4 linked regions of the Pelodiscus sinensis genome follow. The protein of the gene in region 4 purifies or fractionates together with the protein of the main gene of each other region. This does not show direct contact. Links are inferred from orthologs where the notes say so. Each region holds a gene or a part of one and is shown on either strand. Other genes may lie near its edges.

Region 1 (7,371 bases), on a different chromosome or scaffold from region 4:
TAGCTTATTTTGAGTTACGGTGCAGTGTAGACGCACCCAAACTGATCGTAAGTTTTATCAGCTCATAACCTTTTGGGTTGCTTTGCTCTGTCAGTCACTGCAGCTAGCCAACTAAAATCCCCCTTTAAAAAAAAACCCTTGAGCCATCAATAATAAAGGAGCAATAACAGTAAAAAAGCTCTTTCCTTAGCTTGTGATGCTGTGGGTGACAGAGGGGACACAATGCTTCACACCCAAATAACAAAAATTCATTAGTAGCCCTCTTCCTAGCTGAAGTTCTACCACCTTCTGCACTGATACTAGATGTATGGGAGGAGCTGTTGCATTGTATTATTTACTTGGGCAAGTTCAATGGTGCCTGTAAATTCACCATTCCAACCCCTATATCAAACATAACCTTTTACTAGGGGCATCACAGAAACAAAGCTCATAACATCAGCTGATAGAGCCACAGGATCTACCAGTCAGTGGGTAGTATCTTCTGCACATCACCATTATCATGTCCAATGAATTTACTCGGGGCTGCAGCTCTTTTGGCTGGAAGAGGAAGAAAGAATGAATTCTCACTCTGTCTGGCTACGTCTAGGCTGCATTGCTTTTCCAGGATATCTCTGGTATCCCGGAAAAGCTATGCTGTGTCCAAGGAATGTGTCTGCTTTTTCGAAAATGTTTTCGAAAAAACGGATGCGCTCTTTCGCCATCCCTGTAAACCTTATTCTGCGAGGAATAAGGGATATGTCGAAAGAGCACTTTTTTCCAAAATTTGGTGCCATATAGACGTGCCACATTTTGGAATAGCCTCTTTCTAAAGTAAATCGGAGAAAGATATGTTTTTTTTCCAATTTAACATTGCAATGTAGACCTAGCCTCTGTCTCTATATAGTCTCTATATTACAATACATGCATGATAGGGTTGCCAGTTTCGGCTGTTCATATTCCTGGAGATTTCATTGCATGACATAGTCTTTAATTAAAGATTAATTTTTAATTTCTGAAGACACCAGGGCAATTCTGGAGGGCTGGCAACCTTAATGGATGATAGAGTCAGTGTAGCAAGGAAGGTGTTGGACTGGGACTCAAGAATCCTGGGTAAACACAACACTCAAGGGGTGTTATGAGGATAAAACCTATTAATGATTGTGAGGGGGGGTCAAACAGTGATGTGGGTCATAGAAACACCTAGGTAGGTAGTACCAGCATGTCTCTCTAACCTTGGAAAACCTTCTGCAAGCTTAACCCTGCACACTTATGAGATTTACAGATGACTCAAACTGTGAGGAAGTGTGGAAAGCCCAGAATTAACACACGGGCTGATCAAAGAAAAGTACAGAAGTTCAGCAAACAATGCAGTGAAATTCAGCCTTTAATAGATTCCAAGGCCAGAAGGAACTACTGTGATCATCTAGTGTACCCTCCTGTCTATCACCATCCATTGACCTTTTCCAAAATCATTCCTAGGGCAGATCTTTTAGAAAAACATCCAATCTGAATTTAAAAAAAATGTCGGTGATGGAACATCTATCACAGCTCTTGGTCATTTTTTCCCATGACGGTTAATTATTTTCACTGTTCAAAATGCTTTATTTCCAGCCTCAGTTTGCCTAGCTTCAAGTTTTGGATTTGAAATACAGATTTTCAATGGAAGGGAGAAATCTGCAAAACAGTATTGCTGTTACATAGCAAGTTAGTTGTGAATTTGCCCTGGTGATTTGGTCATAAGGAAAAGGCCAATGCTAAGGTGAACTGTATGAAAGAATAACACAGTCAAGAGCAGGGAGGTAAAAAGGTCTTCTCTGAAGTGCTGTGGACCAACCTGTAAGTTGCTTAGGGTAGGGACTGTCCTTCTTGTTTGTACAGTGCCTGCGGTCTTAGTCCATGAGCAGGGATTCTAGGCACTATGGTAAAGCAAATTAGAAATGCTCTTAATATTGAATAACTGGAGGGGATTCAGGGAAGCTAAATAAAAAAATTCTTGGCACTGGAAGGAGTGACTTCTCAACAAAGAAAAACAACAGAATGTGTCCTACTTGGCTAAGTGATGACTAGGGAAGAAGAGGGATTGTTTAGTTTAGTACCAGCAGGTAAAGGAATGAAATTACCTTAAGAAAGGGAAAAATTAAGCTATCACTCTGAATTTGAGATGCATTAGGTTGTGTAATAATCTATCAAGGAGCTGAACAAAATGGACCCTGCCCTAAAGATTTTAGACTAGACAAATGCCATCCTACATTGGCCAAGGGAAGATGGACTTGGTTGTCTAACAAGCCTTTCTATCTCTAATGTTTGTGACACCAGGAGAAATAAATGAGATGGCACACATCAGCCATGGACCAGCAATGTGTGATGACAAATGACCATTAGGGACAAAGCCTTGTTTGTGAAGTTTATTTGTATCCGTTTCTTTGCTGTCCAGTGCCAGGCAGGTCCTCGCTCTATTGCTGGGACTGGTAGCAGACACACCACCACACTGTAACCGGGGGAGGGAGCAGCGCTTGGCCTGCCAGGAACCATTTGGGCTTGGATCTTAGCATGTGTTTGTGAGTCTTCCCTTCTTCTGTCTGTCCCTGTGTAGGGGGACAAGAGTTCAATTCGGTCCTCATCCTGGAAGTGCCTAAATGCCAGAGCACAATATAAACTGGTAGAGAGAGACAGCCCCGTGGGACAGTCGATAAGACCAGACTCAGTGAGCTGCCTGCCTCACCATAATTGTCTGCAACGTTTGCCTGCCTTTTTGTAGCTTGTTTGCAAAGTGACCGTGGCTGCTTGCACATGTCTGTAGTCCAGGTCCGCCTGTCCCTCTGCAATTTGCGCGACAGGTCTGTCTGCACCGTCTGCCCCTCTGTCTGTGTCTACAAGGCGTCTGCCCCCTTTCTGCAACGGGTCTGTCTGTCTGCAACATCTTTCCCCTTTTTACAATCTGCCTGCAACGTCTGCCCCCTTTCTGCAGGGGTCTGTCTGTCTGCAACGTCTGCCCCCTTTTTACAATCTGTCTGCAGAGTCTGCCCCCTTTCTGCAGGGGGTCCATCTGTCTGCAACGTTTGCCCCCTTTTTACAATCTGTCTGCAGAGTCTGCCCCCTTTCTGCAGGGGGTCTGTCTGTCTGCAACGTCTGCCCCCTTTCTGCAGGGGGTCTGTCTGTCTGCAACGTCTGCCCCCTTTCTGCAGGGGGTCCGTCTGTCTGCAACGTCTGCCCCCTTTCTGCAGGGGGTCTGTCTGTCTGCAGAGTCTGCCCCCTTTCTGCAGGGGGTCTGTCTGTCTGCAGAGTCTGCCCCCTTTCTGCAGGGGGTCCGTCTGTCTGCAACGTCTGCCCCCTTTTTACAATCTGTCTGCAGAGTCTGCCCCCTTTCTGCAGGGGGTCTGTCTGTCTGCAACGTCTGCCCCCTTTCTGCAGGGGGTCTGTCTGTCTGCAACATCTGCCCCCTTTCTGCAGGGGGTCTGTCTGACTGCAGAGTCTGCCCCCTTTCTGCAGGGGGTCTGTCCGTCTGTCTGCAGAGTCTGCCCCCTTTCTGCAGGGGGTCCGTCTGTCTGCAGAGTCTGCCCCCTTTCTGCAGGGGGTCTGTCTGTCTGTCTGCAGAGTCTGCCCCCTTTCTGCAGGGGGTCTCTGTCTGCAGAGTCTGCCCCCTTTCTGCAGGGGGTCCGTCTGTCTGCAGAGTCTGCCCCCTTTCTGCAAGGGGTCCGTCTGTCTGCAGAGTCTGCCCCCTTTCTGCAGGGGGTCCGTCTGTCTGCAGAGTCTGCCCCCTTGCTGCAGGGGGTCTCTGTCTGCAGAGTCTGCCCCCTTTCTGCAGGGGGTCTGTCTGTCTGTCTGCAGAGTCTGCCCCCTTGCTGCAGGGGGTCCGTCTGTCTGCAGAGTCTGCCCCCTTTCTGGAGGGGGTCTGTCTGTCTGTCTGCAGAGTCTGCCCCCTTGCTGCAGGGGGTCTGTCTGTCTGTCTGCAGAGTCTGCCCCCTTTCTGCAGGGGGTCTGTCTGTCTGCAGAGTCTGCCCCCTTGCTGCAGGGGGTCTCTGTCTGCAGAGTCTGCCCCCTTGCTGCAGGGGGTCTGTCTGTCTGCAGAGTCTGCCCCCTTTCTGCAGGGGGTCTGTCTGTCTGCAGAGTCTGCCCCCTTGCTGCAGGGGGTCTCTGTCTGCAGAGTCTGCCCCCTTGCTGCAGGGGGTCTGTCTGTCTGCAGAGTCTGCCCCCTTGCTGCAGGGGGTCTCTGACTGCAGAGTCTGCCCCCTTGCTGCGATGAGCCCGACTGTGCCTGCGATCGGACGGTAGGTCGGTCGGTCTGTCTGTCTGTCACGTCTGCCGGGCAGGGACGGACCCGCCAGCCCGCTCCCCTCAGGCTCGGGAGGGCGGCGGCCCCTTTAAGAGCGGCCGCCCCTCCCCCTTCCCCGCTGCTGACAAGATGGCGGCGGCGGCGGCGGCGGCGGGGCCCGCGGGTCCGGCCGGGCCCGAGAGCCGGGTGCTGGGCTACACCCTGCACCGCTGGAGCAGCTTCTCCTCCACCTACCTGCCCGAGTGAGTGACCGCGCCGGGGCCGAGCGCGGCGTCCGCCCCCCGCCTCAGCGCTCCAGGCCGCGGGGGCCCAACCGCCGGGAGGGTCCCGTGACCGCGCCGCGCGCAGCGCCCCCCTCAGCCCCGCCCCTCGCCGCGGGCCTGGGGGGGGGGGCGCTGCCCTCGCGCCGGAGCTGGGGGCAAACCCGCCCCCCCCCCCCTCGGGACGGGACCGCGTCCTCGCGCGCCCGGCCCGTGTCCTGCCCTTGCAGCGCGCCGGGCCCGGCCGCCCGCTCTTCCCGCCCGGGCTCAGGGCGGCGGCGGACGCGGTGTCACTGGGCTGTAGGGGTCGGTCTGCGCCTCACCCGCGCCCCAGTGGCGAGCAAATCTGGCCAGTTCCCCGGGGGGGGGGGTGACAGTTTTTTAAAAAAAAAGCCTAAACTTTGTGAGCCGCATACTCCGTAGTCTGGCCTGGGTTTATTCTTCCTGTGGCCTCCTGGTGCCAGAAAGATGCCGATCCTATCCTGGAACAAAATGCAGGACTATGTAGCACTTTAAAGACTAACAAGATGCTTTATTAGGTGATGAGCTTTCGTGGGCCAGACCCACTTCCTCACATCAATATGGGGAAGAAATTTGGCACAACCATATGCACCAAAAGCCACAGTCCAAAAAATGGTGATAGAAATGTCGCCGTGTTAGTCTGGGGTAGCTGAAGCAAAATAGAGAACTATGGAGCACTTTCAAGACTAACAAGATGGTTTATTAGATGATGAGCTTTCGTGGGCCTATTTTCCTCCACTATTTGATCTGAGGATGTGGGTCTGGCCCACGAAAGCTCATCATCTAATAAACCATCTTGTTAGTCTTTAAAGTGCTCCATAGTCCTGTATTTTAATCCAAAAAATGAACACCTATGAAAAGGACAAATCAAATTTCAGAACCGAAGGGGGATGAGGGGGGAGGTAAATGTTAGTGAGCTAGTGATATTAGAGGTGATAATTGCGGAAGCTATCTTTGTGATGGGTAAGATAATTAATGTCTTTGTTTAGACCGAGGCGTAAAGTGTCGAATTTAAGCATGAATGATAGTTCAGAGGATTCTCTGTCAAGTCTGGTGTTAAAAGGTCTTTGAAGCAGGATGCAGGTTCTATCACTATAGTATCATGAGATTTTGTGCGCCATACCCGCTTCCTCAGATAACCTCCTAGTGGGTTTGGGCCATGACCACTCATGATACTAAATAGACTCGTTTTGGTTAGTCTCTAAGGTGCCACAGGACTACTGGTTGTTTTTGAAGTTGCAGACTAATGGGCGGCCCGGCCCCTCTGACACCTTGGAGCAGTTTAGTTTTGAATTATTGTAGTGTTCAGGTTTTTTTTTTTTTTTAAAGGCCGGAGTGACCATTATAAAGTGTTTGTGTAAGCAGTGGCTAACCACCTGCATGATAGTCTAACTCAGTTAAAAGTTAGTGGCCTGAGTCAGGCAGGTGGTTGGTCACTGCTTACACACAAATGCACTTTAGAGAGAATCAAGTCTTGACTCAGGCTTCTAGTGATGGAGTTGTCATCCTTTCTATTTTCACCGGCAATTGCTTTTACTCATTTTTTTTATGAAGTGTTTTACTTCCAGTTCTCTCTCTTTCAATACAGGCAGTCCCCGAGTTACGCAGTTCCGACTTACGTCGAATCCGCAGTTACGAACGGGGCCCGTCTCCCTGGCCTCCAGCAGACCAGGGAGAGGAAGCAAAGCGGCGGAGCATGCGGGCAGCGGACAGCCCAGACGCGTCTTGGCTGTCCGCTGCATGCATGTTCCACGGCTTTGCTCCCCGTCCCCCTGGTCTACAGACCAGGGAGACGGGGAGCAGAGCAGAGCCGCGGAGCCGGAGGGCAGCAGGACAGCCACGGCGCGTCTGGGCTGTCCCACTGCCCCCGTGCTCCGTGGCTTTGCTCCGGACGCCTGTGGTACAGCAGCTGGGGCGCTGCCGGTTGGTCCCGTAGCGCCGCTCTGGGCGCTACTGGACCAACCCGGCAACACCCCAGCTGCTCTGCCCCAGGTGTCCCCAAGTCGCTGACCAGTAGCTGACTGCCCCGGGCTTCCTGGAATCAGCCGCTGATCAGTTTCAGCAGTAGCTGACTTGGGGATGCCTGGGGTTCTTAAGTTGAATCTGTATGTAAGTCAGAACTGGCGTCCAGATTCAGCCGCTGTTGAAACTGATCAGTTTCAGCAGCGGCTGAATCTGGACGCCAGTTCCGACTTACATACAGATTCAACTTAAGAACAAACCTACAGTCCCTATCTTGTACGTAACCCGGGGACTGCCTGTATATCACTTCTGTTTCCAGCTATTGCATCTGGTTCTGCCTTTGCTGTTCTGGATTCCTTTAGTGTCACAGATCTCTTCTCTGTGTATATATAGTATACTCGTAGGCTGTGAGTGACCAAGTCATCTCCTCATCTTCCCTTTGATAAGCCATATAGACTAAACTCTTTGTAAGGCTTGCTTTCCAAATCTTGAACCATTCTTGCAGGTGTTCTGCTTTTTTAAAAAATTGAGAAGCATCATGATAGGTACTATGTCCAGTTGTAGTATTCCGGTATTGGTCTCCATTGTGCAGTTTTCAAAGGTATGAACTCCCTGATCAGTAGTTCAGTTTATAATGCCCAGCATCCTGTTAACCCTCTTTGAAACAGCATCTCACCAGCTGTTCATGTTTAGATGCTATTTACAAAGCTGATCTAAGTCTTTTACAGAGTCTCTGCTCTTCAGGATGCAGTTTCCTCACCTGTAAATACGATGTGTGACCTTACATTTAACTGATTAATTCATGTTTTAGTGTGCCCAGACTACTTGCGATCTCAATTACTCTGTATTGGTGGTAGGTCCTTACAGTTATGCTTC
Region 2 (7,937 bases), on a different chromosome or scaffold from region 4:
GCAATGACAGTGCAGGAATTTAACTACTAAAACACATATCAACAGAAGACCATTATATTGACTACTTTTTTGTTTTGGCTCCCACCCGCGGGCCCCACATAAATACCACACCGCGGACCGCACACAAATGGGCTGTGCACCATATTCCGCTCGCGGACCGCATGTTGAGTAGCCATGTTCTGTACATTTAAATTACTCCTGCAGATTCAAATGAGTAAGTCACTTTACTTTCTCTTGAAAAATAATACCATGCAGAATTGCTGAAGCAGAATGGTGATGCACCAAAAATTACCACAATTCAGCAATAAGAGGGATTTTCCTTAGAAAGAGTCTTAAGCATTCCTTCTTCTTACGAAAGGCACTCTTATGGAACATGTTGTAATGTAGAGCGCTTACACAGTTACTATTATCTAGTGACTTGGGCACGAGCAAGTTCAAGGAAGGATATCAATGTAATTATGACCTCCTTTATAGTTTACTTGCATCAATTAGAGAACATTGTCAATATCCACCTATCTGTAGCAAAATATTACAGTTGCTGCCACAATGAAGTAAATTAATATTCAAGTGTTTTAAAGGCTGTTTTAAGATCTAAAGAACCAACTAGAGATGAAAATTCACTCTGTCTTTTTCACCTCTACCAAAAAATTATTTCCCTAGCATGGAGGATGGTTTGATATCTCCACAGTCAAGAACATTTAAAGGGATAAATGCAAGTGGTAACTGAATAGTGACTGTTTTGTGATTTTTTTGTAATAACTAATATTAACCAGAAAGGAAACTTCTGGAGCACTCAGGAGCTTGGGGAGAGACAAAAAGAAGTGTACATATATCTAAACATCACCTTATGACATTTAACATGGTTAATACAAGCCTGTTTTCTCACAATGTCTCATGGTCATACAAGGAATATTTCAGTCTCATTAAAATGCTGCAAAAATCCCTCATCAAGTGTAAATAGTATACTTGAAAAATATCTTAGAACTAGTCCAAAATGACTGCTATCTTCAAATGAGTGACACCTAGTAGATAGACTTAAGTGGTATAAAAAGAGACAAAGCAAACCATTGCTTTTATATACATATTGAAGAATATGAGATTTATTTAGACAATGTTTGTCAATAAATACACGTTTCTTTGTCTATGAATTTCTTAACATTGTAGCTGAATGTGGAAAGTACCTTTCTAAGGGAATTTTAAATTTAACTCAGATATTGTCAAGCCTAAAGTACTTCAGGATGACCGGGAAAACATCTTCAGATATAACATGAGAGTCAAGACAATCCCAAGAGTAAAGGGAAATAAGGGAGCAGGCTAGAATGAGGAAAGCAAGAGCAACAAACAGATGAGAAGAACACAGGAAGAAACCTATAAAAACAAACAAAAGCACATAACACTCTACATGAAAGTGAAATATGATTGAAGCACAAAAGTTTATAAAAGCTCATGATTCTATATATTTGTTAGTCTGAAACGTGCCATAGGATTACTCATTGTTTTAAAAGTATAGAATTTTGATATATACTATATGAAAAAAAAACTAGTTAAATCAGATACAAGGGATACAAAGGGACTATTAAACAGTCCAGCTCATCTCACCTCACTCCCACTTAGCCAGTGCAGAGTTAGTTCCCTACAGTAAAATCAATTGGAGCTGAATTGGTTGATCTAGCATATATATAAAAGGAGTATTCTAGATTATCAATGTTCCACCACTTCCTCTGGGAGACTATTCCCCAGTTCAACAGCTCTTATTGTCAGCAATATTTACCCTTAATATTCAATCTAGATTTTTCTTTGCTCATTTTATGATGTTCGACTATGTCACAATGAACCAACCTATGCAATTCACCTCACACCTGGTGAGTTAACACCCTTCCCATAATACTCAGTTACTACATCAGCCACCCCAACTCTTTTGTAGTATCCAGCCAACCTATATTTAACCCTTTCCTCCTCATAAGAGCTCCAATCCCTTTAATCATTTTAACCCCCCAACACTTTCTAGTTCATCTCTATCTTTGGAGAAAACAAGATGTCAAGGAATCATATTAACCCCCCATTCATCTTTTAACAATGATACGTAGCTTTAACTGTCAAACATTCATTCTAAATAATCAATACTCTCACCACACTTAAATCATTTAATTGCTCTGCACCCTCCAGTCTGTCCCCGTCACACCACTCCCCACACAGCACCCTTCAGTCACATTTTACCCCTGGCATATTCAGCTCTTTCGTTCTCCCTGGAGTCAGCCCTCCCACCCCATCAATCGCTGTCATTCCTGTCTTTGCTCAAGGGGACTCCACCCCACCTACATCTTCAAGCTCTGGAAATGCCCAGGAGAGAGGGGGCTCATATTCCAGGCACGTTCCTCAACATGGAAAGAAAGAAAATTACCCTTCCCGGTACAGCTCAAGGCAAATGGGAAGAGGCACAAAGGGGTCCGGTGAATTGGGGTCTCCCCACATTACACGCCTTGGGACCGGGGGGGGGGGTTATAATGAAGGGGGTGGGGACCTCAATTTGCCAAGCCCCCATCCCCTTTTAGCCCTGCCCTGCGGGGGCATTAATATCCTCGCTCAATCAGTACCTGGCCCTCGCCTCCCACAGGTCCCCAGGATGCCTGGCACCCACCTTGAGAGTGGGATATTCCTGCACCTTCAAAGTCATTGAGAGCTGAGCAGCTGATTCCTGCACCGCCATCTTGGATTGGGCACCAACCTCCTCCTCCCCCCTCCTCCCAGCGCAGAGCCCAAAAGAGCTACCTACAGCGCGCATTGCATGGTGGGCAATGAAGGACTTCCTCCTCCTTCCTTTCCCCCACCCCCGTCGTCCCTGCTGGAGACGGGCTGAACCAACAGATTACCTCTCCCCCTCTCACAACCGGGTGGTACAAGCCACGGAACAGTGGCGCTGGAAGAGAGGGGAGAGAGTATTCATCCAATCGTTGCATTCCTTTCGCATCTCTCCCTTCATAGGGTTTGCCCCGCCCTCTAACTTGTGAATGCGTGTTTGATTGGAGGATACGTGAGCCTGGGCGACTAGCCACAGCGACAAATCAAGAAGAGCAACGAATTCTCGTAGGCGGGGATTATATCTACGATTGACACTTGTATTTTCCAATCGGGCTATGCAGATTTTCATTCGGCCCAATCAGCATTTCCTTTCTATTTAGGTGGCACGTAAAAGTTCGTTTTTCTGGCGAAGTAAAGAGGCGGTTTTAACGACCCCAAAAGGTGTCCGGGAGGGCGGGGAAACAGCGCTGTGCAGGTTTATTGGCAGGCAAAGGAGCCAATGCGCGCGGCAGACACGGAGACGAACAAAGCGAGGAGCGAATGGGAGGCGAGCGGCGCTGTGGAGGGCGGGCTGTGTTGACACGGTTGGTTTGTGGCACGAGTTAGTGTGTGGGTAGCCGGGGGGGGGTGCCTAGTAAGTTCCGTAGGGAGAAGCGCGAGTGAGGCGGAAGCGGCGGGAAGAGCTTTAAATAGCGGAGATAGAGGGAGTCCTCGGCTAGGGCACCGCTGCGCTCGGCGGGGTAGCCACGGCCGTTGGCTGGTGTTTGCCCAGCGGGCTGGGCCGGAGGTAGCTGCCGCGCTTGGTGCCTGAGCACAGGGCGGGAAGAGAAGCTCCCTCAGGAGGCCTGATTCGCCCCCATCTTGACCAGCGGAGACAACATCAGGGGGGCGTCGCTCGCGCTTCTCCGGGCTCCAGACGTGGGCGGGCGCTAGCCAGCTCCCTTCAGCGGGAGCCTTCCGTCGGTGGCCTCGCTGCGGCTTGTGCGCCGCCCGCGGAGAGTCTCGGCAGGGAGAGGCGCACCCGTCCGAGCTGCGCCTGCAGCACTCACCCCGCGGGGAGAGGAAGCACCTGCCGCCCTCCCACTGCCCCAGCTGTGATTGGAAATGTGGCTTCTGCCAGCTTAGCCAGTAAATAGTTCTCTGTCCCCGCCCCCACTGGGCACCTGCTTGTTCAGAGGGTTGCCAGGTTTGGTTAGACTTCCTTGAAGATTAATGTCAGAGTGGTAGCCTTATTAGTCTGTAACTTTAAAAACGAGTCGTCCTGTGGCACCTTCTATGTTCTAATTGTGAGATGTTGTAGGCATAACCCACTTTCTGAGATGAGCTCGAGGGGAGAAAAAGGGGACCCTCAAAATATATAACAGGAAAAAGGTGGGAGAGTGGAAAGAAAAAAGGTTAAATATTACTCTTTTATTCCTGTGGATTCCAGAACTATCCTGAAGAAATGGCAACCCTAGTCTGTTACCATGTAAGAGAGGGTGGAACTTGTACTCTTTCTCATGGCTCCTAGAAGTTAATTTCCAGCAGGAGTAGACAGACGTATGGGAGTTTCTACAGAATCAGAACCTGATCCAGTTGTTCTTTGGTGATGCTGTGTGTATTAACAGAAACGTTCTTTATGGTCTGCAGAATGAAACATTTTGAGACTATTTTCTTTAAGATCCTACATAACATTCACCACTGGTTTCTGAGCGCTTTAGTATACTAGGGTGGGTGATGCTTCTTGGGAAAAATTTACCTCTGAGGAGTTGCCCTGCAGAATGAAAAAAAAATCAACCCCTGATTCAAAAATTGGATATGAAGGAAAAGTTCTTATTAGATGGTGTGGTGGGGTTTTTTTTAACTCCAGTGAAGTCTATGTCAAAACTCTTCTTGGCTTTAGTGGTGCAAGAGGAGGTGGTCTATGATCATGTATGTTTTAAGAAATTAACATGGTGGTCATAAGAACATAAGAATGGCTGTACTGGGTCAGACCAAAGGTCTATCTAGCCCAGTATCCTGTCTACTGACAGTGGCCAGCACCAGGTGCCCTAGAGAGGGTGGACCGAAGACAATGATCAAGCGATTTGTCTCCTGCCATCCCTCTCCAGCCTCTGACAAACAGAGGCCAAGGACACCATTTTATCCCCTGGCTAATAGCCTTTTATGGACCTAACCACCATGAAATTATCTAGCTTCTCTTTAAACTCTATTATAGTCCCAGCCTTCACAGCCTCCTCTGGCAAGGAGTTCCACAGGTTGACTACACGCTGTGTGAAGAAGGACTTTCTTTTATTAGTTTTAAACCTGCTCCCCATTAATTTCATTTGGTGTCCTCTAGTTCTTCTATTTAGGGAACTAATAAATAACTTTTCTTTATCGGCCCTCTGCACGCCACTCATGATTTTATATACCTCTATCATATCCCCCCTCAGTCTCCTCTTTTCTAAACTGAAAAGTCCCAGTCGCTTTAACCTCTCCTCATATGGGACCCGTTCCAAACCCCTAATCATTTTAGTTGCCCTTTTCTGAACCCTTTCCAAGACCAAAATATCTTTTTTGAGGTGAGGAGACCACATCTGTACACAGTATTCAAGATGTGGGTGTACCATAGTTTTATACAGGGGCAGTAAGATATTCTGGGTCTTATTTTCTATCCCTTTTTTAATAATTCCTAACATCCTATTTGCCTTTTTGACTGCCGCTGCACACTGCGTAGAAGTTTTCAGAGAACTGTCCACGATAACTCCAAGATCTCTTTCCTGATTTGTGGTAGCCAAATTAGCCCCCATCATACTGTACGTATAGTTGGGGTTATTTTTCCCGATGTGCATTACTTTACACTTATCCACATTACATTTAATTTGCCATTTTGTTGCCCAATCACTCAGTTTGGTGAGATCTTTTTGGAGTCCCTCACAGTCTGCTTCTGTCTTGACTATCCTAAACAGTTTGGTACCATCCGCAAACTTTACTACCTCGCTGTTTACCCTTTCTCCAGATCATTTATGAATAATTTGAAAAGGTTGGGCCCAGGACTGACCCTTGGGGTACACCACTAGTTACCCCTCTCCAATCTGAAAATTTACCATTTATTCCTACCCTTTGTTTCCTGTCTTTTTAACCAGTTCTCAATCCAAGAAAGGACCTTCCCTCTTATCCCATGGCCATGTAATTTACACAAGAGCCTTTGGTTAGGGACCTTGTCAAAGGCTTTCTGAAAATCTAAGTATAGTATATCTACTGGATCCCTTTTGTCCGCATGTTTGTTAACCCCTTCAAAGAACTCTAATAGATTAGTAAGACAGGATTTCCCTTTACAGAAACCATGCTGACTTTTGTCCAACAAATTATGTTCTTCTATATGCTTCACAATTTTATTCTTTACTATTGTTTCGACTAATTTGCCCGGTACTGAAGTTAGACTTACCGGTCTGTAATTGCCAGGATCGCCTCTAGAGCCCTTTTTAAATATTGGTCCAAGATTTAATAGTGCATGTATATGAAGCATCCATGACTTTGCTGCCCTTCCTGGTTAAGGTTTGGCTGCATTATTTCTGTTAACCTTTAGAGAATTGGATTTAATGAAAAACACATTTTACAAGAAAAAGAGGGTAGTTTGCATAATTTTAAAACTTTCCAAATATTCTTCAGTAAAGACTATAAAATACATTACATTTTAAAATGTTACCTAATAAATAACAAATGTTTTAAACAGGACTTTGTACCTCTTTTAGACACCGCAGCTGATGATGAAACATCCATTACAGGTTGTAATTAAATTTACCATAGAGTCTAGGATTGGCCACAACCAATCAACAGGATTTTAAGTTATTTATTCTCTCTCCACTAAGTGCAAAGTCCTGTTGAAAATCACATTAGTTAAAATGTGTTAGCTAGTTAAACTTCTAATTTACAGTGCTTGTCTGTGCTCTCATTGAGATGTCATAAGGCATCATAAGTTCTAACAACAACTGTCTGACAAATATTCCTAAAATACATAATTAATATTAGGAAAACCAAATGTGTACACACACAAGCCCAAATCATTGTGATTTATTTATGTAGGGTTTATTTTTATATTCAATATTGAAAATAATGTATAGTTGCACTTTGGTGCCTCTAGTCCATGCTACCTCCCATCACCTCTCACCCTGCTTCTTCCCCCAGCCCCCTGTTTTTGAGGTTCCACTTATCCTACCCCTGCTACCCTGAGATTCTTTCCACAGACTCTCACCCGACTTTTTGCCTTGACCTGGTATTCTGACCCTACTGAAAACAGCTACCCTGGTTTGGAGCCTGCCCCTAGAGCTCCGCAACTGAATCAGTGGAAGGACAAAGGGGTTGGGGAAGTGGAAGACTACCTGTGGAGCCAGTGGGCACTGCTAAGAGAGGCTGCTTCTTTGCCTTAGTCTCCTGGACAGAGATAGGGGATTTAGTGGCCACCACATTTGAGAATCGCTGCCCTAAGGGCAACTGAGTCTGCATGAATGGACATTGATTGACTTTATTGAGGCTCCAGGCGGGTATAAGGCTTTCAGTGGGTCAAGCTGAAAGATCGGAGCCTCAGGTAGATAATTTGTGCACACATGCACATTTACGTAGCACTGTTGTGTTCCTATCTTCACATAGCTATGAAATGAATACACATTTTGTAAAGATTCTTTAAGCAAACTTTTATGCTAGACTACGTGAATCCTGTAACTAACTAACTAACACTAATGGAAAGGAAAAATTAGCAAAGGGTGGATATTTTGTTGTAAATTATTAGGCCATGTATGAAATAAAGTTATTTAATATTTGATATATATTTTGTATGTAGTTTATTTTCATGTGTATATATTTAATTATGTCCACTAATCTTTATTGCACCATACTTTTGGTATGTTATTTTATGCTTAATGGTGATCTTCTACAGTATGCAAAATGACAGTACTTCTCAAACATAAAGTAATCCTATGAATGTGTGCAAAGTGAGCCAACCTTTGTACTGTAGAACTATTGGTGGATGTTTGTCAGAAATTAGCAATCAAAGTTTGAGGTTTGCTCAGTGGAAACAGATGGCTGAGCTACCATCATGTCACAGAAAACAGCATGCATTCTTAGTTTAACACAAGAGGGAGCATGTCTAATCTTTAACCTTTAAATATTGCAACTTC
Region 3 (6,950 bases), on a different chromosome or scaffold from region 4:
GTGACCCAGAAAATCCAACAAACCTGTTGTTTACGTCATCTTGTCGGGCTGTTAAGACTGCTTTCAATAGCAGTGACTAATTCCATTATTACTCAATGCAAAGGAATAAAGATATAAACATATTGACCAATATAAAGATGGCACAGCAGAACCCACTGACCAAGAGTAAACACTTGTATTCATTAACGAATAAACAGGCATGTTCGAAATGGACCAATCTTCGTCCCAATTCAACACCCACAACCAGAAGTGCTAGCCTCCTCCATCACCCAAATAAGAATCTGTCTATGGCATGCTATCATTAGAACCATGGTCGCAACAAAATGGTTTACGTTCAGAGCATAGCAGAGATGTGCGCAGTTTCCCCGAAGGAGCACAGTGATTATTTTAACTGATCTTGGAAACAGAAAAATTGCCCGGTCCAAGCAGTATGCAGAAATTGGTCTAATAAAAGATATTACCTCATCCACCTTGTCTCCGCAAGTCAGGAAAGCCCTGTTAGGACCCCACACTACTAACAGTAACAACGGTGCTCAAATACTCTGGTTAGCATGCTGTTAACTGTAAGGTGTTGCCATGGTCTAAATTTAAACACGCTTGTAACTTCTTCACTACAGTGTTATGACTCAAGTTACAAGAGCATTTAATACCACCTAATGCCACCTAAGAAACTGTAAACAGAGGCTTGCTCCCCTTTACAAAAAATTGTATAGGCAAGAAAGGAAGACAATGAAAAAAAGGAAGTTTGTCCAAAGACGGTTTACTTTAACTTTTCTATGTTATGACTGGTTAGGAATTTTCCCCCTTTTACACTCTGTTTATGAAATCACTATTTTATTTTCCTTGAGTGTTTAAAAATCACAGAGAACAGCAGCAGGGTGATGGGACCAGGAAGGAGAAGGAAGACATGGCAGCTCAGAGGAGTTGTTCCAAACAGGGAAGGGGTGATGGTGGTAGGAATGATGGTGAAAGAGGCTGCTGAGACTGGGAAAAGGGGGGCCTAAGAAGCCAGATTGGAGCATCTGGGGGGAGGGGACCCAGGGACTCTGAGTCTCTGTGGAAAGAGGGGATGTGAGCCTCCTGAGGGGACAGACAACATGGAGCTCCAAGGCTTATTGCAGATACAGCTGGGAGCAAAGGGAAGGGGCCCAAAGAGCTGAGATGGGGTTAGGGGGGCTCGTTCGGGCAGGTGCCTGAGAAACTGGGATCAGTGAGGACAAATGGAAGTCATGCAGACAGGATTTAGGAGAGGGGGTGCAAATGAAAACTGGGGGCAGAAGCTCGGACGGAAGGGAAAGAGGGCTGAGAACTGAGAACCAGGATGGGGGGAGGGGACCCAGGATGGGGATGCTGAGGGGACCCGGGATTGAGAGTGCATGGTGGGGGGGGGGATCCGGGATGGAGGAGGAACATGGGGGGGCAGAGCAAGGGGACAGGAAATCGGAGGAACCTGGGGGGAGGGCGAAGGGCCCCGGGATGGAGGGGAGCATGGGGGGACCGAGGGGCCCCAGAAGAACCTGGGGGCACGGGGACCAGGGATCGGGGAACCTGTGGGGAGAGGCCCCGGGGCTGTGAGTACCTGGAGGGCAGAGGGATCCGGGACCGGGGGTAACATGGGGGGGAGAGGGGCCCCGGGACGGAGGAGGAGAATGGGGGGGACCAAGGGGCCCCGGGATGGAGGAGGAGCATGGGGGGGGACCATGGGGCCTCGGAAGAATCTAGGGGCGCGGGGACCAGGGATCGGGAACCTGTGGGGGGCGACGGGACCGGGGGTAACATGGGGGGCGAGAGGACCCGGGATGGAGAGGAGAGCATGGGGGGCGAGGGGCCCTGGCATGGAGATGGGGACATGGGGAGGACCATGGGGCCCCAAGATGGGGGAGGAGCATGGGGGGGAGACCATGGGGCCCCGGAAGAACCTAGCGGCGCGGGGACCAGGGATCGGGGAACCTGTGGGGGGCGAGGGGACCCGGGATGGAGGGGGGAGCATGGGGGGGGGCGAGGGGACCCGGGATGGACGGGGGAGCATGGGGGGGGGCGAGGGGACCCGGGATGGAGAGGGAAGCATGGGGGGGGCGAGGGGACCCGGGATGGACGGGGGAGCATGGGGGGGGGGCGAGGGGACCCGGGATGGAGGGGGAAGCATGGGGGGGGGCGAGGGGACCCGGGATGGAGGGGGGAGCACGGGGGGGGGCGAGGGGACCCGGGATGGAGGGGGGAGCACGGGGGGGGGCGAGGGGACCCGGGATGGAGGGGGGAGCACGGGGGGGGGCGAGGGGACCCGGGATGGAGGGGGGCCCATGGGGGGGGGGCGAGGGGACCCGGGATGGAGGGGGGCCCATGGGGGGGGGGCGAGGGGACCCGGGATGGAGGGGGGCCCATGGGGGGGGGGCGAGGGGACCCGGGATCGGGCTCCCTGGCGGGCCCGGCGCGCCGCACGTACTCTCGCTCTGCAGGATCTCGCGGCGCAGCCCCCCCGCGTACTGGATCAGCTCCTCCAGGCTCCGCTCGCAGAGCTGCCCGTAGCCCGCGAACTTCTGCAGCACCTTCTCCAGCTCCCGCTCCACCGTCACGCACTGATCCATGGCGAGCGCCGCGGGGCTGCCGCTCCTCCGGCCGGGCCTGCCTGCCGCCGCCGGGCCGGATTTTGTTTCGAACTTCTACCAGCGGCTGGGCAGGCAGCGCCAAGGCAGCCGGGGTCCTCAGCGGCAGCGGGCTCCCTGGCTGTGTGGGCACCGGAGCGGGCACCCGGGGTCCTTAGGCAGTTGTTGTTCAGGCGGCACAGTAGACAGTCGGGGTCCACAGAAGGGCTCTGTTTCAAACAGCTGGGGTGCTATGGTGGTTTGTTACTCCACGACCCATACTGATAGCCGGAGCTTGGCTTAGTGCGGGCGCAGCGATCGGAGTCCTGGGCGGAATTTTTTTTTTTCAGGCAGTGCCACAGCCACCTTGGGTCTTTGGGCGGGGGCAGGGTTCGGCTGCGCTGTGTTCCGGGTAGCTCCTTAGGCAGACGCGCTGGCTGCTTTGCGGCCGCTCTTAGGGAAGCTCAGGGCGCGAGGCTGGGGCGGGGCCTGAGGAGGTGGTGGTGGTCACGTGCACGTATAAATACTCCAGCGCCCCTTAGGGGCGCGGCGTAGCGCTGGACACTAGTGACCTCGAGGAGCCTTCCAGGGAGCGATCCTGCGCGGGGCGCGCTGTGCCAGGGGCGCCTCCGGTGGTACCTGTGCAGTCCCAGCTGCAAGCAGAAGGGGTCGGGGTGACGGTGCTTGCGGCTCTCCTGGGCATTGTAGCTTGCCATGGGGGAAAACCCCTGATCTCTAGGGGATTGGCTCAGGCAGAGGCAGTCAAGGAGTCCAGCAGCTGTGCCTTCTGGACTCGGGTGATAGAAATGTAGCCGTGTTAGTCTGGTGTAGCTGAAACAAAATACAGGACTAACAGGATGGTTTATTAGGTGGTGAGCGTTCGTGGGGTCTGGCCCACGAAAGCTCATCACCTAATAAACCATCTTGTTAGTCTTTCAAGTGCTACATAGTCCTGTATTTTGTTTCTGGAGTCAGGATTGTGCCGCATTGCATCCGCTAATGGGAGACAAGACCTGTGAGAGCAGGGGGGGGGGTCGCCAACTTTTATAAGTGCAAGATGGCTTTTTAAAATTTAAATGCAATCCAGAATCTACCTCCAGCCCAAGTACCCTGCCCCACTTCTTTTATGCCTCTTTGCCAAGGCTCTGCCTCAGTTCACTCAGTCCTCCTTGCCTCCTCCATTCTCCCTCCTTTTCACCAGGCAGGGCAGAGGGTTGGGGCACAGGCTCTGGTCTTGGGCTAAGGGATTTAGAGTGCGAGAAGGGCTCTGAACTAAATGGCTGCGTCTAGACTGGCAAGTTTTTCCGCAAAATCAGCTGCTTTTGCGGAAAAACTTGCCGGTTGTCTACACTGGCTGCTTGAATTTCCGCAAGAACACTGACTTCCTACTGTCTGAAATCAGTGCTTCTTGCAGAAATACTATGCTGCTCCCATTCAGGCAAAAGTCCCTTTTGCGCAAAGCTTTTGTGCAAAAGGGCCAGTGTAGACAGCTCAGATTTGTTTTGCGCAAAAAAAGCCATTTTTGCGATCGGGGCTATCGGGGCTTTTTTTTTGCAGAAAAGTGCGTCTAGATTAGCATGGACGCTTTTCCACAAAAAGTGCTTTTCCGTTAAAAGCATTTGCGGAAAATTATGCCAGTCTAGACGTAGCCAATGTGTGGTAGGGTGTTGGGTTGCAGGAGGGGAGGTTCAGGGTATAGGCTCTATAAGGGAATTTCTGTCTAGGGGGCTCACGCCTAGGGTAAGGGCTTGGGATGTAGGTGGGGGTACATGACTGGGGCAAGGGTTTGGAGCTGGCTTCAGGTGTACAGTGCTTACCTCAGGTGGCTCCTGGGTGGTGGTACCATGGGGCTAAGGCAGGCTCATTCCTGTCTTGGCCCTGCACCACTCCCAAAAGCAGCCAGCAAACTCTCTCTATCCCAAACCCTGTTGTGTGCCCCCCCCCTTCCATTCTGTGGAGATAGAATGGAGGGCAGGGGAGCATTCTGACCTTAGCACCCCTCCTCTCTCTTACCTCCTCTGCACAACAAGCAGGAGGCTCCTGGAGGGGGAGGCAACTCCAAGGCAAAGGGGAGGAGATGTGCAGCAATTGGGGGTGGGAGGCGCTGAAGTGCTGTGCTTGATAACCTCTTGGCCAAACCAGTCAGGATCACCTGTCAGACGTGCTAAGCTCTACCAGACTATCAAAATCTACTGGTTGGTGACCACTGTGTTAAAGGATCTTCATCGCCCACCACTTCACTTCCCTATCCAACCCTAACACCACCTACATCAGTGGTCCCCAACGTTGCGTGGCTGCCAGGTGCCTGGGGACAGAGCCACTCACGTGCCGGGCACACGGGGGTGGGGCCACGCCTGCGCCGCGCACCCGGGGGCGGGGCCACCCACGAGCCATGTGCCCAGGGTTGGCACTGCGCATGTGCCGCGCGCCCGGGACTGCCCACGAGCCACGCGCCCCAGGCCGGCACTGCACATGTGCCCTGGGGCCGGGGCTGGGGCTGCCCATGCGCCCCGGGCCGGCCCTGCGCATGTGCCGCGCGCCATGGGGAGGGGCCGCCCATGCGTCCCGCGCCTGGAGCCAGCACCATGCATGTGCCGCGCGCTGGGGGTGGGGCCAGCCCAGATGTTTCAGCGGGCGCACAGAAATCCCCCGGCGGGCGCCATGGCGCCCACGGGCACCACGTTGGGGACCCCTGACCTATGTTGTCTACTCAAGCTTCCACAATCTTATTTCCATCTCGTCACATTCCTTGGTAGGGTGCTATGTAATTCATTTCACTTTACTGCTGCTAGCTATGTGAATCTGCAATTGGTTCCCATGCTCAGAGCTTTTTCAAACAACAGCAGTTTAAATGAGACCAGAACTTAAGTAGCTTTTATGTTGCTATTCAGAATCCTGTATGTAGGGGTCGAACTGACAAGAACTATGTTGCTTTGACCCTGCTGCTGTTCGGAAAAACACTGAGCAATAGCAAAAGAAATTACTAAAGAGGGAAATTCAAGAGTCTGAAGGAAGGATGAGACTAGATTAATAGAACAACTTCAAGGTCACGGGCTGGTAGAAAATGCTTCTTTTATGGAGGCAGTGTATAGAGAGGTTTCAAAACTGTTAGACCTCTAGAGGCTTCCATGAAAGATGGTGCTCTTGATTATGGTGAAGGGACAGTACCATGGTAGGAATCCCAGCACCTTTCCCTTTCCAGCAAGTTGGAGGAATGGTAGCTGTCTTTTCCTTGGGTTATTAGTTTGAATAGTGTGTTACCCCCCTGTTTTATTTTGGATTTGTCTAGTGAGTTTAATGTTTTGACAAGTTGATAGCTGGTGAACTTTTCAAACCCTGCTTGAAAACTTCATCCTATTCCTTTAACATCAGTTACTTGGAGTTCACAGAGAATATTAATAATCCTACTTTTCTGGTGGGGAAACTGAGGCATTGCTCATGAGTCTCCATCCTCTGTGGCAGTGTAGCTAAATTTTATCACAGGAGTCTCAAGTTATGCTTTAGTATTAATTTATTCTGTCTTCACTAAATACTTCACATTCAGTTAGCCATAGGCATGAAAATATTTGCTAAGGAACCTGGAGCAAAATTCTTAGTTCCAGCAATGCAGTATTCCTATTGGCTACGTCTAGATTGCATCCCTTTTTCATAAAAGGGATGCAAATTAGACATATCGCAATTGCTAATGAAGCAGGGATTTAAATCTCCCCCGCTTCATTAGCATAAAAATGGCAGCCGCTTTTTTTAGGCACGGTGCTTTGCCTGAAAAAAGTGCCAGTCTAGACGCGGATCTTTCGGAAAATAAAGCCTTTTCCGAAAGATCTCTTATCCCTCTTAAAATAAGGGATAAGGGATCTTTCAGAAAAGGCTTTATTTTCCGAAAGATCCGCATCTAGACTGGCGCTTTTTTCCAGCAAAGCTCCGTGCTGAAAAAAAGCGGCTGCCATTTTTATGCTAATGAAGCGGGGGAGATTTAAATCCCCGCTTCATTAGCAATTGCGATATGTCTAATTTGCACCCCTTTTACGAAAAAGGGATGCAATCTAGATGTGGCCATTATGTCTGGTTCTATTTACTGTATTTAATTCATCCTTTTTATTTTCAGTTGGTTTTTTTCCACTGCACTGTCAAAGTGGTCAATCTTCTTGGGCTTCTGCTGTAATGACAGTAACTGCAGATTGCTTTGCTTGAATTTTTTGCCTATGTTTATTTTCTGTATTGGATGATAAATTGAATGAGTCAGCACTGGTGCTGTGACAAGAGAATACTGAATAGTTCATGGCAATAGAGGATTTTTAAGAGTTCTTTGACTTATTCCTCTCCTGTTTAGGCTGATTGGGCCTCAATTCAGGTAGATGAATGTTCAGG
Region 4 (7,470 bases):
GGAGTTGCCTTATGCATAGCATTATGCCTTTTGCTGGCCCTATGAAAATGTGTTGCCTGCACTTACTGAAACTTCTTTGACAGCTTCCAGTCTGCACTGAGCTTGCTCCATCCCAGAGTAGCAGGTGCTGAGCAGGATGCTCTCACCACAGGGATGGCTATGCTGTTAGAGCATGTCTATACAGCAGGGCTAAAGCCGAAATAAGCTATGCAACTTGAGCTATGTCAATTGTGTAGCTTAAGTCAAAATAGCTTATTTCCGCACAGCAGGAAGTCTGAGAGAGAGCACTCTTCTTCCAACTTCCCTTACTCCTCATAAAATGAGGGTTACAGAAGCCGGAGTAAGAATTCCTCCAGCTCAATCATTTTGACATTATTGAAATAACTGCTTATAGTGTAGACGTGTACTGTTATTTTGGAATAACGTCAGGTATTCCGAAATGAAGCTACTGTGTAGACATAGCTTTAGATATTAGAACTGAGAGAAGGGGGAACATCTCTCCTGAGGCAGGAGACTAGCAGTAGGAAACACAGATTCATGGGCATCTTGTAACAGACCCTTAATTTCTATATATACTTGCGTCAAAACCTGAAATGGACTGGAAGATGCCTGCTTCTGCATAATGGATTTGGTTTGCTTTTTAAAAGAAAAAACCTACACACACAAACTACACTGAATGAATGTTAAGGTTGAATGTCAAGGATTCAAAAGTTGGATCTGAAAGCTAAACTGGGTCCTTGCCCCTTTCAGGGCATAGAATGGATGATGCTTTCTGTTATACTAATTTCACCCTTATTCAGTGAATAGCCGTATGCCTTATTTACTGCATACCATTCAACCTTTCTCTCAGTACCGTATTTCTTATGGACAGGGCTTGACAAATCACTAAATCTACTTGCCCGTGGTGAGTAGATTTCAACCAGTCGCCCTGTTCACCGGCAGCGTGCGCATGCACAATGCGGGTCTTGCGCATGCGGAGTGCGGGGCTGGCGAGCAGATTTCACTGCTGTTTATCAAGCCCTGCTTATGGACATTCATCCCTGACTCATTGATGGTGTTGTAGTCTCTGCAAAGCAGTACAGTGACAAGGAGGGAGTCAGTTTCAGGTACTATAGTGATCATATAGCAGAGGCAGGCAAAATACAACTCATGGGGTAGATTCAGCTCAACAAGCTGCCAGATCCAGCCCATTGCCCAATGGGAGGCTTGTGCAATCTTCCTGCCTACCCTGCCTCTGCATGTTGCGTAAATTGTCTGACTGCAAGGACCATGAGCTGCTTTGAGCAGTTGGGGACAGGCGTTGTGCACTGCCTTTCCCCCCAGCACAATCTCGCAGTTCCCATTGGCTGGAAACTAATGGGAAGCTGTTTGGGCTGTGTTTGAAGTGCAGACAGTGTGCAAAACACCTGCTGGGACTTGTGGTACTCAGGGACCATGTATTTCTCTGTAGCCAGCAGCTCCAAAAAGCATGCGGGGGCATGAAAGGCAGGGACTTCCCAAGGGACCTGCTGAGCGGGAACCGTCTAGGTAAGTGCCTCCTGGCCAGAGCCTGCATCTGGGACCCCAGCTCTTCCCTCCCACCAACTCTTTGCCCCAAGTCACAACCCTCTGCACATGTGTCCTCTCCCAGGCCCAGCACCCCAAACATCTGCCCCAGCTTACAACCCCCTCCTCTACCCAAAATCCTGCCTGCACCCCAACTGTCTCAAGCTTCCTTCTGCACCCAACCTCCATCCCATACCTCACATCTCCATTAATATCATGGAAGAGTGTGGCCTTTGTCCACTTACCAAATTCTTGAAGTGGCCCACCATCAAAAATTGTCCAACCTTCTCTTACAGGATCAAGTTCAATAGCAATTTTGTGTTTGACTCCAGTGCGACCTTACTGGTGCACACTTGTGCCTGTAGTTAATGCACCTTCACCCTGAAACAGTCAGGCTAAGCAAAATCTCCAGATCCCATGAAGAGGTACAAGCCTCGAGCACTAGGGACATCCACTGTACTGTTGAGTCCTACTGACCTTGAACACATTAAGCATCTGAAAAGAAAATGAAGTCCTGGAATTGTCTATGGAAAATGGCCAACACAAAAGGGGGAGCTGACAGAGTATAATGTGTTCCCTTATTGTTGTATGGACTGTAGTGTTTGCTGGGGTCCTTAGCTTATCTCCAGTGTAGGGAGTGCGTAAACCAACAAACAGCTTCCTTTTTAAGGCCTTGGTCATATACTAATACTGCCCCAGTACCTAAGTAGTAGGGCTACATCTAGCCTGTAGAGTTTTTGCACAAAAACTCACAGAACGTCCACGCTTCTAGTGCATTTTTGTGCAAGAAAATTTACAGTAAATCAGAAGAGGGGTTTTTGTGCAAGTTATTTCTCTTTGTATGAGGAATAAGCCTTTTTGTGTAATAGCTCTTGCGTAAAAAGGTGGGTGTGGATGGGAAATGGGGTTTTTGGTGCAAAAACAGCCTATCAAAAGAAGCACAGGTGCCCTGGTGGCCATTCTGTTAATGGCAATCACAGCTTTCTTGTGAGAGCATCCATGCAGCCTGGACGCCCTCTTGTGCAAAAGCGCATTGCTTTTCCGATGCACTTTTGCAGTGTGGACATGCTCTTGTGCAAGAAGTTTTTTTTTTGCAGAAGACCTCTTCTGCAAAAAGCTTCTTGGGCAAGAAGCCTGCAATCTAGACATAGCCTAGCATTGTGGCATCCAACCAGTTCTAAAGCAGTAGCCACTGTAGTAGCTACTGCTCTAGTGAACTAGCCTTGGCTCTACCAGCCAACTAGCCATATCTGGCTAGTGTATTCGACATCCCTGCACTAATGTGTCTGGTGTTTTGAATTGCAGGTAAGCGGGAGAGTAGACGAGTCACAAGTATCATTAACTCTGAAAGCAAAATCATGGGATTGGTTTTACTTTTCCCCCCGGCTATGCAATGGCTTTGCTCTATTTGCAAACCCATCAATGAACTTCCTGTAACAGGAGCAGAGCTCTTCCAAACTGCACAGCTGCAAGCGTCTGGGGAGTCAGAGTAATATTCTTACCTGTAGTGGAAACATCTGTTTTCCTCAAGACAGGCTTCCACTTTTTGTATCTGCGTGTATTTCTTTGGTTTCAATTTCAGAGTGGCACATAAACTTAAACTCTGCTAGGAAGGCTGTAGGGGTTTCATGCCAGTCCCAAGGCTGGATAAAGGAGGAGGGTTGGTCAGATGAGTGTCGATATGCTGATTGTAAATCAACAATATGAATAAAATCAGGATATTGGCATTTGAGAGGAGTTGTTATAGAAAGATCCTGAGAATAGGATGGCTGCAGAAGGTCAATGATGAATTTATATAGGAAGATACAGCTGAAAGAGTACCTACTGCAGGTTATACAATGGAAATTACAGCTATTCGGGCATATCTGCAGAATGAACAATAAGAGAAAAGTGAAGACCCTGGTATTTGGCATAATGGATGGTCTGAATAGGAGAGGCAGACCCTATAGAGAATAGGTAGATTATATACAGCTGCTCTCTGAGTTGCGAAAGGTCGAGTTACAACCGTTCGTACTTACGACCAAAGCTCCCACGGAGCGGTCTTAAGGCGGTCCCTGAGTTACAAACGCGACCTGCGCTTACGCAGAGCGCGGTCGCATGTAACTCAATGGGGTCCGAGTTACAAACAGCTCGAGTTATGGCCAAGTGTTTGGTCCATAACTTGTTTGTAACTCGGAGAGAAGCTGTAGTAGATTGGTGTGGAGCTAGTCTACAGAAACTAAGCCACTGTACACTGGACAGGGAAAGATGGAAGGAAATAGAGAGGCATCGGACACCAATGGTCACTGAGCCCATGGTGGTTGATGATATGTCAAACTTATCACAGACCATTTGTAAGTGCATCAGTTCCTGCTCAACACTAAGATATCTTGTGTGGATTACAGAGCACTTGAAAGAACCATTCCGTTGAATGCTCTTTACATGAGACCCTCAAAAGTAATAAAGGGAAGTACATAAGGCAAAAGCCATTAATTTGCCAGAGCCATTGTCCTGTAGTAAAACTGTCCTTTCCCCCTGGTGTTTGAATCCATTTTTACCAAGAGCCCCTGTAGAAAGCCAGAATGAACGTTTTCCATCATCGATATTTTCTAGGGTTAATAGATCAAACTCTCTATTTTGCTAACTGTGCAGCTCCCCTTTCCCCTCCATTCCCACGTCATCTTTCTGTGCTGCCTCCCCCCCCCCCCGTGCTCATTCAGCTCCCTCCCCTCCTAGCTCCACTCCCCTCCCTGCGCCCCCATAACCAGCCCAGTGCTCCCGCCCCCGCTGCTCATTCCCCGCCCAATGGCTCATTCCCCGCCTTCCAGCCACAGCTGCCCGCCGCGCTCCAGCGTTGGCACATGCGCACTGCAATTCCCACTCCGAGTCAGAAGGAACAATTCCGCCCCCCCCCTCCCGTGCTCCTGAGGGCGCCAAAGGCCTCCATGGGCGCATGCGCAACGGTTGGAGCGAGTTTGGAGTTGGTACTCGCCGATTCGTTAGAGCAGCTCCGGCGGCCCGGCCGGGCGCTGGCGCCGCCCCCTCCCCCCACCCACAGAGATGGGCCAGGCTCGGTGGCGGCGGTAGCGCTGGCTGCCTCGCGCGGGGTTGAAGGTGCCGCCGGTGCCGCGCGCGCGCGCGCGCGCCCCCAAGATGGCGTGTGTGTTGGAGACGCCGCTCCGCATGAGCGTCCTCTCGGTGAGTGCCCGCCCCGGCCCGGCCCCCGCGGGGCCCGCTCGGCGGCCGGTCCCGCGCCGCGGCGCCCGGGCGGTGTCAGGCGGCGGGGCGAACCCGACGGAGCCCCTGTGGCGAGGCGGCCGGCCGGGGGCCCTGGCTCCCCGTAGCGAGGCTCTGTCCCCGCCGGCGGCGTCAGGCGAGGGCGCTGCCCTGCTGGGCCCGCGCCCGCCGCCGTGGCCTGCGACTGTCAGCGCGGAGACAAGCGGCGCGACCCCCACCCCCCGGGCGTCCTGAGGGGGGCTCGGAGAAACCACAGGCCCACGCTGGGCGGAGAGAGCCGCCACCTCTTCGCCTTCTCGGCCCTCCCAGCCGCGGCGGCGGGCTCCGGGCGAGAGTAGGCACCCCCTTGGGGAGCTGGGCGGGTCCGCCAGGGATGCACTCCGGGGGGAAATGGGAAGGATGATCGTGTGGGTGGGGAAGCACAGACGATACGAGAAATGCAGAAGAGGTGAGAGAGGAAAGGGGGAAGAGATGCAAGGAGATGCATTGGAAAATGGCATGAAAGGGGGGAGAATGTGTCTGGGGGGAGAAATAAAGAAATGAGAACTTCCTGGATAAAGACAGAAAACTTACAGTTTTAATGATCTTCTGCGTGTGCATCTCTATTTTATTATGTCGCTAATAGATGTCCCATAGCTAGATGTGGGGAAAGATGTAAGAGCCAGAAGAGCATTTCAGTATACTAACACTTTGTGTTGGATATCCTCGTTTAGAAAAACTCAGGTCTTTTCGAATTATTCTGAATTCTCTGGTTATTTTTTATATAATATATTCAGTTCTTAAGGTTGTTTTTTTTTCTGATGGAGACATGGCAGCGATACTTATTTGCAGACATGGTAGGGATACTTATTTTCAGGAAGTACTCATTTTACCTTCCTCTACCTGTATTGGGTTGAGTCTACACAGTTTTATTGTAAACCTTGTACCAATCTCTAGGGATGCAGGGCTCCTTGTTTATGAAGACTGCTGTCTGTCCAGGGCTTTTGAAGCTCCCTTGCCCTCTCATCACTGGCAAGAGGGAATTTTGTATTGGTTGCTGAAGACTGTTCTTTGTATCTCTTCTGAGTGCTCTTCTGATGACCATGCTGCTGCTGCTATCTTGCACTCTAGTGAAAAGACAAGTAGTCCTGTAGCACTTTATTTATTTATTTATTTATATATATAGAGAGAGAGTTAGTCTTTATATATGTAAAAACTTCAACAACAATAGACTAGTAGCACCTTAAAGACTAACAAAAAATGTAGATGGTATCATGGGTTTTCATGAGCACACCTCACTTTTTCAGATGACTCCTGTCACCTGGTATCCAGTTGTTGTTTTTCCTGTTACAGACTAATAACTTGGCCACCCCTCTGAAGTTTTTCTATATATGTGGTATCATGAGCTTTTGTGGGCAAAACCCACTTCCTCAGATGAGTGGAGAGAAAAGGGGGGGAAACCTCACAATTTATAACCGAAAAAGAAAGAGGGGAAGAAAAAAATACCTGTCAATTGTAGTGCTGGTGCGAATGAGGCTAATTGAGTGGTCTGGAAGTATCCTCTACTTAGCTTTTGATGTCAGTGGGATGTGAAGAGGATCATCCACTGCGACTATGTTGACATGTTGTGTTAGAATAGACAACATTTTGTCCTCTTTCAACAGCACTGGAGTTTTAGAATGAAGGAGGGGGCGGGAAGAGTCCTAGGATGAAAGCATTTCTTCTTCCTGTTGCTCTGAAGGGAGGAGATAAGACAAAATACCCATGGTAGTTGCACTCTACTGCCACCCACCAATGTGCTGGGAAAAGTGGGAGATTGTGACTAGGAAAAAAAGGTGTTGCATTTCTTACATCTTTTATAATTGGCAGTGTTATTGGTTAAATGGCAAAATAAAAGAATACGTTACCCAGCACTTCTGGGTAACAGTGTATATTACTGAATGCAAATCTCCCATATTTTAAAATGAAATGTGAACTAAAATCGTGCTTGCCAGTCTGAAATGGGTACCTTAAACCTGAAGTATCTATTTCTGTCTTAATTTTGATTATTTAGTTTTTTTAAGCAGCGTGAAGTAAGGATGTTAAGGACTAGTCAACTAGCTCGTTCCCCCTCCCCTTGCTGCCTCTATCAGAGGCGGGAAAGACGGGGTACTTCAAAGCGGCAGTGCAGCATGGAACTGCCTTTTGAAACGCTGCCTCAGCATTTCAAAGCAGCACCACATGGAGCTGACCCCAGGCTCCATGCAGTGCTACCCCTTTGAAACTCCACCACAATGTTTGCGTGGAGCCTAGGGTCAGCTGGGGACTGCCTAGCTGATCCTGGGTTCCAGCGCAGTGTGCAGAGCCCAGGGTCAGCTGGGGAGCCCCCAGCTGATCCCGGGTTCCGGAGAAATGCTGTGCAGAGTCCAGGGTCAGCTGGAGGGTCCCCAGCTGACCTGGGCTCCATGAAGCATTTCAAAGCTGGTGCCTGCGTACAGCCCAGAGTCAGCGGTACCTCCTGCTGGCCCCGGGCTGCATACAGAGTTCCTCATTCCTCCTTTGAAATGTACAAGAGCCCCACCAACATCTCTTGTACATTTCAGAGAAGGAATGTGGAAGTGCCTATCGACTAGTCGATGGAAATTCCATCGTCTGCTTGACAAGTAAATAACTCGATATTTAACATCCTTAGCATGAAGGCATGTGCTTGTTTCAGTAAAATAGTGCAAAGGTTATATGCCAGCTACTACT

Evidence for each region.
Region 1: the proteins of ARMC8 (region 4) and MKLN1 purify together in Homo sapiens (affinity purification with mass spectrometry; 4 studies listed by BioGRID and IntAct, with this or other methods). This does not show direct contact. The link is inferred for Pelodiscus sinensis from reciprocal best matches to the Homo sapiens genes ARMC8 and MKLN1.
Region 2: the proteins of ARMC8 (region 4) and MAEA purify together in Homo sapiens (affinity purification with mass spectrometry; 5 studies listed by BioGRID and IntAct, with this or other methods). This does not show direct contact. The link is inferred for Pelodiscus sinensis from reciprocal best matches to the Homo sapiens genes ARMC8 and MAEA.
Region 3: the proteins of ARMC8 (region 4) and RMND5A purify together in Homo sapiens (affinity purification with mass spectrometry; 5 studies listed by BioGRID and IntAct, counting the BioPlex papers as one, with this or other methods). This does not show direct contact. The link is inferred for Pelodiscus sinensis from reciprocal best matches to the Homo sapiens genes ARMC8 and RMND5A.

Annotation. Positions count from the first base shown.
Region 1 is NC_134711.1:7,867,775-7,875,145, reverse strand, and holds the start of MKLN1 (muskelin), read left to right. Parts: upstream 1-4,358; 5' UTR 4,359-4,381; coding exon 4,382-4,494; intron 4,495-7,371. UniProt on the Homo sapiens protein: Component of the CTLH E3 ubiquitin-protein ligase complex that selectively accepts ubiquitin from UBE2H and mediates ubiquitination and subsequent proteasomal degradation of the transcription factor HBP1.
Region 2 is NC_134715.1:120,927,948-120,935,884, forward strand, and holds the start of MAEA (E3 ubiquitin-protein transferase MAEA), read right to left. Parts: upstream 3,005-7,937; 5' UTR 2,958-3,004; coding exon 2,871-2,957; exon of another isoform or gene 2,783-2,870; coding exon of another isoform or gene 2,774-2,782; exon of another isoform or gene 2,708-2,773; coding exon of another isoform or gene 2,639-2,707; intron 1,748-2,638; exon of another isoform or gene 1,600-1,747; intron 1-1,599.
Region 3 is NC_134715.1:122,882,991-122,889,940, reverse strand, and holds the start of RMND5A (E3 ubiquitin-protein transferase RMND5A), read right to left. Parts: upstream 3,010-6,950; 5' UTR 2,586-3,009; coding exon 2,444-2,585; intron 1-2,443.
Region 4 is NC_134720.1:4,087,129-4,094,598, reverse strand, and holds the start of ARMC8 (armadillo repeat-containing protein 8), read left to right. Parts: upstream 1-4,463; 5' UTR 4,464-4,677; coding exon 4,678-4,722; intron 4,723-5,039; exon of another isoform or gene 5,040-5,095; intron 5,096-7,470. UniProt on the Homo sapiens protein: Component of the CTLH E3 ubiquitin-protein ligase complex that selectively accepts ubiquitin from UBE2H and mediates ubiquitination and subsequent proteasomal degradation of the transcription factor HBP1.